Oryzias latipes: one gene and its partner. The protein of the gene in region 1 purifies or fractionates together with the protein of each later gene. This does not show direct contact. Links are inferred from orthologs where the notes say so. Each region holds a gene or a part of one and is shown on either strand. Other genes may lie near its edges.

The links.
Region 2: the proteins of polr3b (region 1) and pfdn2 purify together in Homo sapiens (affinity purification with mass spectrometry; 3 studies listed by BioGRID and IntAct, with this or other methods). This does not show direct contact. The link is inferred for Oryzias latipes from reciprocal best matches to the Homo sapiens genes POLR3B and PFDN2.

Annotation. Positions count from the first base shown.
Region 1 is NC_019864.2:21,469,323-21,473,416, forward strand, and holds the start of polr3b (DNA-directed RNA polymerase III subunit RPC2), read left to right. Parts: upstream 1-1,240; 5' UTR 1,241-1,357; coding exon 1,358-1,483; intron 1,484-1,703; coding exon 1,704-1,736; intron 1,737-2,414; coding exon 2,415-2,471; intron 2,472-2,553; coding exon 2,554-2,618; intron 2,619-2,691; coding exon 2,692-2,767; intron 2,768-4,026; coding exon 4,027-4,094. UniProt on the Homo sapiens protein: Catalytic core component of RNA polymerase III (Pol III), a DNA-dependent RNA polymerase which synthesizes small non-coding RNAs using the four ribonucleoside triphosphates as substrates.
Region 2 is NC_019876.2:18,973,834-18,978,018, reverse strand, and holds the start of pfdn2 (prefoldin subunit 2), read right to left. Parts: upstream 2,928-4,185; 5' UTR 2,917-2,927; coding exon 2,806-2,916; intron 554-2,805; coding exon 465-553; intron 237-464; coding exon 113-236; intron 1-112. UniProt on the Homo sapiens protein: Binds specifically to cytosolic chaperonin (c-CPN) and transfers target proteins to it. Binds to nascent polypeptide chain and promotes folding in an environment in which there are many competing pathways for nonnative proteins.

The DNA of each region.
Region 1 (4,094 bases):
ATGAATGTATGAATGAATGAATCAATGAAAGAAAGAATGTAATGCAACCACAGGGGAGCACAATCCAACTCTCTTGTGCCGGTCCCAAGTCCGGATAAATGCAGAGGGTTGTATGAAAGCAAAACTAAATTAAATATATCAATCACAAACAGAGTTAATATCTAACTGTATGTATGTATGTATGTATGTATGCATGTATGTATGCATGCATGCATACATGCATGCAGGTCGGTTCATCCTGCAGCGCCAGTTCTGCTTACCAAAACTGGCCCACTAGGCGGCTCGCATTCCATGGATTACTTCATACAATTTTTCTTGTAAAATATTGAGCAACTATGATTGCAAAACCATTCTTATTACAGTTTTTCTCCATTGGTTTGGCTCATTTCTTGAAACAGAAATTACATTCTCAAAACAACATGGACAAACTTCCAAACCACTCTGCAATTGTTCACAGCAGAATGGAATTTCTCATTAGTTTCATCAAATTGCAAATGTCTTAGTACTTGTCTCAATGTCTCAGTACATCTTTGCAATTGATTAAGTACAGGTAGCCTTCATTTAGCACAATTTCCAAGTGAATAGATCTTGTTGATCTAAACTGATTGTTGATTCTCAGTCTAATGGTTGTTCTCTCCAAAATGAGTCAGCATCATTTCATTGTGTAAGTCATCACATGCACAATAGTCTGAACATTATACCATGAATATGATATTTATGAATCCCTTGGAACATTTGATAAATTTAATACAGAAACTGACAGTGAGGTGAAACTAGAACTTGACTAACGAAGGAGGATGTCCCAGGATGTCCCATAGATAGATAAAATGAACTTTATTAATCTCCCAAGGGAGATACTCAGGTGTCTGGCAGCAAAACACACACAATAAATAACAATAAAATAACAGTTCATAAAAAAAGCAGTTCATATCAGGCAGATTTGTTAAACAGCCTAATAGCTGAAAGGAGCCTATAACTCCGCGGCTCCTCTGTGCTTTGCTGACGGTCACAAACTAACAGACTGAGTAATTTCATCTCCTTTTTTGTCTATCTGATGAAAACAGTGATTCAATTTGAATTGTTGTTCAATATGTCTTTTACGTTTTTTCTGCACTTACTGCAACTAACAGACAGAGCCGGGCAGGGACCCTTCCACAACACTAGGGGGCAGCAGTACCCACCCAAAAGTGCAAAACACCGGGAGTGAAAGAAAAAGACAAACACGCGGAACCTTTCTTTCGTTCCTCCTCGAATGTACGGATGCTTTACTGCGATACACGGAACGTTGGTTTTCCAGCAGCAGTCGGTGTAAGACTGTTTTATTTATGAGTTAAAGGTTAACCAGCTATTGTTAACCATGGAGGTCCTCGGTGAAGAATTTGGAGACATGACTCCCCAGGAGTTGGCGGCTCCTGTCAACACCGTGGCTGTGAGTTTGCGTAAAAACAACACACAATTTGGCCCCTCGAGACGAGTCAATGCGGTGAGGTGGTGCGCGTGTGTTAGTTTCATGGTGGAATCAACAAAGTAAAAGTTGTGATTCTTGTTGATGTTCTTATTTCTTACGAGTCTGTTTCACGAGCCATAAATAAACTTCTAATGAATTCAAATGATGTTCCTATAGGAAATGACTAATTCATTCATTGCTAGTTCTTCATAATTTCTGCTCTGTCTCTCTCTGTCATCTTTTTCTTTATTGACAGGATAAATGGAAGCTGTTACCAGCCTTTTTGAAGGTAATAATGTTTGGGTGGCTGAGGACATGTGAAAGTCTTTTTGATTCATTTTGAGCATTTTTATGCTACTATAAAGCCCTAATAATTAAAATTAATCAGAGAACTTCAATAATCATGCAAATGCAAGCACTTCAGAAATCCTAAAAAAAAAGGGTTCTGTCCATGATCCGATCTCTTTTTATAGTTTAAGATTCAAACATTTTGCGTTGTTTTTAAAACATCCTATTACTTTAATAAATATTATTATTGTTGTTGTTGTTATTATGAAGATGACAAACCACATATATTTATAGACTGAGTCTTTAAAACTGAGATGTGGGAATCGGCTCCATAAAATTTTAATCTTTTTGTAATCTCAAGTAAAAAAAAAACAATTTAAAAAACCATATCCAATGTTTGCATAAAGCTCGGCTTTTCATAGATTTTAGGGTGTTTTAGGGTGTTGGCCCACAAATGTCTCATATTTTTGTGATGTCAGAAATGTTTTAACCTTGTCAAGTTTTTAAACAGTAAAACCAGACCAAAATGTTAGAATTTAATTGAGACCATATAGAAAAACATTAACATCTTTTAAAAACAGCATTATTTTGATATGCATAGTTGACTGCTGTTTGAATGCTTTAGCATCAGTATTTCTTCTTGTCTCTGCCTACGTTCGATCTTCTGTGTGTTCTGCAGGTGAAGGGTTTGGTGAAGCAGCACATCGACTCCTTCAACTATTTCATCAATGTGGAGGTGAGGCTCTATCCCCGCATCAGCGTTTGCCACATTTGCTGTGTTTGTCCTTGCACTTCTGTTCAAACGTCTTCCTTTTCAGATAAAGAAGATCATGAAAGCAAATGAGAAAATCACCAGTGATGCTGATCCCATGTGGTACCTGAAGTAGGTTCAATGACAGAAATTCAAACCGAACTTCCTGATAGCAAATATCCAACACATTTTTTACCCCCTGCAGATATCTAAATATCTATGTCGGCATGCCTGATGTGGAAGAAAGCTTCAACGTTACCAGACCCGTCTCTCCTCATGAGGTGAGAAAGGCAGCCGATTTCTGTATAATTTTTTTCTTTAAATATACCTATCTTAGATTAATGCAATTGAAAATAAATATTTTGCAATTTTGAACAGCCCTAAAGACTTAAATACATGCTCTCCATATCCTTCTGCATTGAAATTTGGAAATAAATACATTTTTATGTCTAAATTAGAAACTAAAATCACTTCTGTGTTTTTGAAAATGTCTTAAATTTAAAACACTACAGGTTTGAATTAATGATTGAAAATATAAACATGAAGCTATTAATGGTGCCATCAGCAGCAATTAGAAGGTCCATAAGTAGGAAATTCTGGAAACAGTTGGCCGAATTTTAATAAATTAGATAATAGGCTCAATATTTGTGCAGTTTTCCAGACATACAAGATGATCCCATTTAAGGAAGAAGCTTAAAAAATTGTGTGGTCTATCTTTGTAGAAATAAAGTAAAAGATTATTTAAGTCCAATTTTACCTTCCACTTTAATTTCCCTAAAGCTTTGAGTAAATCACAACATCTTCTCTGTTACAAACGATAATATTACAAAAATGTAAGCATCTTTGGCTCATAACATTTCAGTAGTTTATAATTTATGCCACATTCAATGGCTCAAGAAAAATCAAAACAATACTTTTTGTTTGATTTTAGATTCATTCAGAACCTATAAAATAAAATAATAAAAGCTCACTGTATGGCAGATTATCACTATAATAATAATTGATTGGATTTATCTGCGTTTTTCCAGACGCTCAAAGCGCTTACAGTTTGTCCATTATTCATTTATACTTGGTGATGGTAAGCTACTGATGTAGCCACAGCTGCCCTGGGGCAGACGGACAGAGGCCTACAGCCCCCTCTGACCATCACCGGGATCATTCATACACATTCACTCACCAGTGGAGCTGCACTGGAGGCAAGGAGGACACAACGACAGTTGGCTGGGGGGAGCGGGGATTGAACCGCCGACTCTTAGATCATTGGACAACCTGCTCAACCGCCTTAGCCACTGTCACCCACAGTACTGCCATAGTACTTTAATTTGGATTCACTAGTTTATGATTCTGTTTCATGCGGATTCATTATTCCAATTTTCTAACCAATTTTATTTTGTAGTGAAAAACAATGTTCACATAAAAAAGGATTTAAACTGAAGAAAGTGAAATTTTTATGAATTAAATCATTTTTTCTTTATTAAAAAAACAAAACAATGTATAGATTTCTCATTAACACTTTCAAGCTCTTGCTTTGTTTCCTTAGTGTCGCCTCAGGGACATGACCTACTCGGCACCCATCACAGTGGACATAGAATACACTCGTGGCAGCCA
Region 2 (4,185 bases), on another chromosome or scaffold:
AACGTTTTTAAAATAAATCAAATGATGATCAGAGTAAGACTTTAATGTCCATTAGCCTGAAAAACAGCTTCCTGTGATAAATGTTAAAGAGCTTTTATTTGTTTATTTTCACCTGTTCTTTGTTGTTTTCCAAAGCAGGTAGAACTTCTTTCACCGTCCTCTCTACCAAAACCCCTCCAACCAGGCGATAGCATTTCCTAGAAGGGTCCACTTCCTTAAGAGTTTCAATAACTAAACTGAACACAAAAAGAAAAAAACATTAAAATTATTACTCTTTTACCACTTACCAGTTATGTGACGAGGTGAGTTACAAGATGTTTTTCTTTTTTAAGTTTAATGTATATAAAGTAAAAAGGTCAATTTAACTACAGACCAACATGATCCAATTAGCTGTCCTGCTAACAATCAAACATAAAAAGTGAGTATTATAAAAGCTCTCAGAGGAGAAGTCATCAGCTGCTAACCTGTGCTCATTGATGTCCATCTCCAGCTCTGCAGCTTTAGACGCCATGCTGCGTTGTTCCTGACGCATCCTCTGAAAGGTGGCAACCACCTGAAAACATCACCGCAAAGCTGGCATCAATGCAGACCAATGACATTTGACGCATCCGTCTGATCCCAACACAAGCATGTAAGCTGTTTCAGACTGAGGGGCTTTCAGGCTGAATAAACTTACCAAACCTTAAAAGGAAATTGTGACTTTAGAGAGTTTTTTTTTTTACCCAGTCCCTTTTGATCCAGTCCGCTTAATTTGTTCCGGACCGAGTTCCGAACCTTGCGTTAGGCCTTTATCAGACTGGCGTTAAGCGCCCCATTCTGTTAGCGACCAAAGCTTATAAACAAAACAATGTGACTAAAGATCTCTTCAGTCATTGGCCAGGAACTACGAGGGCAGATCAAAACAAGAGAAATGTGGACGTGTGCCGCTTAACAGTTAAATTATTAAAATTTTATATTTTTTTCGATTATCAGTTTTGAACGTCGGGAACAAGCCTTTTTATTTGTTACTTTGGTACGGCAAAGGCATGCTGCGAAGCGGTCAGTGGCAAGGAGACGTGCTGTGTGTGCTTTAACTCAGAGCATGCTAGTAACTGCATTGATGACGAGACGTCGGGTATGAGTAGGCTGCCACGCTCTCTCCTCTCTGAGGGGCAACCGCATGGTTGCGATAAAGAGCCCTGGAGTTTGGCCTGAATAGAGCCGTCACCACAAATATTAATCAAATCGGTGACTTCGCTTCCCTTCCACTGACTGGTCTCAGCAGCATCGTCCGCCATTGGTTGATGTTTATGTTCTTGTTCCCGCCTACTTCAACGAAAAATGATGATGTTTGCAGCGTATCAATGACGTACGGGTCGGATTCATGTGGCCTGGACGTTCAGACGGAGGTCGCATTTGAAATGATCGGATACATATCGGATTCAGGACCACATACGCAAGTGGCCTGGGTCGCATTTGAAAAGATCGGATCTGTGTCGTTCAGACTGTCATGAAAAGATCAGATACAGGTCGCATAGGGGCAAAAAACAATCAGAATTGTGTCATTTCAGCCTGCAGTGAGATACAATGTGTTTCCCATTAAAAATGATTTTAATTAGCCTGCATTCATCTGACCACATTTCAATGAGTTGCTGTGTCTCATCATTGTGGTTTTAGGGCATTGTTTTTAGAGAATTCTGTTAAGGAAACTATAATATAGCTTTTAGTCATGCCACAGGCGAATGCCGCGTAACAAGATACAGAAAAGCATGCAAGTAGCCTTTTCAGCAATGTTAAAATAAACGTTCTAACAAATAAACACTTGAACTCTTTTTTTCTGTTTGATAACACGATAATAATTGCTTATTTGTCCGCGGCTCATCTGTAGCCACATTCCTACTCTGTTTATGTCAGCTATGGTGGCCATTTAGGTTCAGTGGTATTCAGATTGAGGAATCTTAGAGCGAACCCGAGCTCAATCTGATTGGAAATTAACCAAGACCACCTGCAAAGATGGGTCAAGGTCCCAGACCTTAAAGTGAACTCTGGTTCAATTTAAGCAGACCAAATGCATAACCTTCTCCATGTTAATGATTTCAAATTGTTTTACTTTTTTTATATATAATGTATGTACCATTTTTTTTAGCTTTACTTTCTTTTTTCAATCAAGAGCAATTTATAACTTAGAATATGACTTCCTAATATGACTTAATTCACAGTATTCTTTGAACCTGTATGAAAATATTTAATTTTGACCCCAAAATTTTTTGAAGTTCATATGTATTTTTAATGTTATTTTTCAACAAACATCGAATAAAGATTAATACATTTCAACATTTGCCATTTTTATGCTAATTTGTTCCTATAGTGTGTCTACATGTTATTGTCTATCACTAAGACGTCGCTTTATACTAATAATTTGGCAACGTGTTGAAACAGTTTTTTTCTTATATGAAAGGCTTCCGTAGCCCTTGAGCTGTGCATAGTTGTTGACTGTCTGAGTAGTAAAAATAGCATCATCATGCTCTGTCAGACCCATTCTGAGGGCCACACCACCCACATACAGAATGGTGTACCTTTAGTTTATCTTTGACGTTATCCCATTCCATGATGTGCAAATAGCACAAATTGGACCTAATTTCATGCTCACAATTTCTTTCCCCTCGCATGGGTCTGACTGCAAGACACTTCTGTGGCCACGGGGAAGCTAACGTTAGCGCTGACTGGCTGTACGTCGGTTTAGTTACTTTCTGCTGAATATATACGAATAATATGTCACAATCTCAGGAGTACCGAGACAAAAGACTCCGCTACTCAATAGGATACCTGTTCGGCTGACTGCGCGGGCTGTTTTCCAGCCGCGCTGCTGCTCGATTTGCTGAACGTGCTGCTGTTGGCTGCCATCTTGATAGAGTGCACTTGAAGGACCCGACCCATGTGAAAGTTTTTTTTCACAGGCAGAGGCAGTCTCATGACTGCCTGTGTAAAAATACATCTCTAAATTCCTTTACCACTCACTACACAGTGCACTATACAGTGCGTTCGCAATTTTGTAATGCTGTCCGAATCTACAATTTCAAAATCCAGTTCCTAAGAAATTTCTCGGAAGTCTCTGCAAATTAACCAGTGTGCATCGACGCTCATTAAATTGGCCAACATAGATCAATGACAATGCATTGCGTTTTGAACATTTTTTGCGAAAACAATGTGTTGAAATGCTTTTTTTTAAACAATCAATATTTTTTTTATTTCAAGTACGCAATGAATTAATAAATAGTTGTTGTAAATTGCTTGTATTTACGACGGAGTATGTATTGATCAGATTTTCACTTCGTGAAATCGGTAACGTTATATTTCCCGTTTTAAAAAAAGAAAAAAAATAGTGAGGATGGTGTCCTAATTGCTTTTAAAACCCACGACACTATATCGTTTTTAGTAGTTGGTGATTAGGTTGGAAATTCGGACACAGCACTAAGATCAAATTGATCCTTTTTTTTAAAATGGGAAACAAGTTAAATTTCTATCTGCCCCCCACAACTGTAAGTAAGTAAGTAAGTAAGTAAGTAAGTAAGTAAGTAAGTAAGTAAGTAAGTAAGTAAGTAAGTAAGTAAGTAAGTAAGTAAATAAGTAAATAAGTAAATAAGTAAATAAGTAAATAAGTAAATAAGTAAGTAAGTAAGTAAGTAAGTGGGTAAGTTAGTAAGTAAGTAAGTAAGTAAGTAAAGGCTTATTTGATCAGCTAACAATTGATTTCTACCACGGGGTTTCACTAGATTGTGCATTGGCCAATTAGAAACTAAAATGCATTATTATTATTATTATTTTGCACATGTTTTACCATAAAATCCAAGTAGAGTACACAAGTGTAACATGTAAACATTTTCCCTCGAACAAATCAAAGGATAAAACAGTTTAACTTCTTTTAACAGAATAATCAGCCTGACATGCTACAATGACATAAAATTTAAAGAAAGAAAGGCATTTCTAATTTTAAAAAGTTTCTGCTAATTAGAAATGATCATTTCAAAAGCTTTGGGTAGTCTAACTGTTTTATTTATTTATTTTTTCATTTTCAGCTAAAATGTTCAACTTTTTCCTGTAGAGACCAAATGTATATCACTTCGCTGCATAACAATTTGACCCTATGTGATTGTTGCCACAGTGTGATAGCAAACAGCTTCTGGTATAATATTAACCAACCTTTTC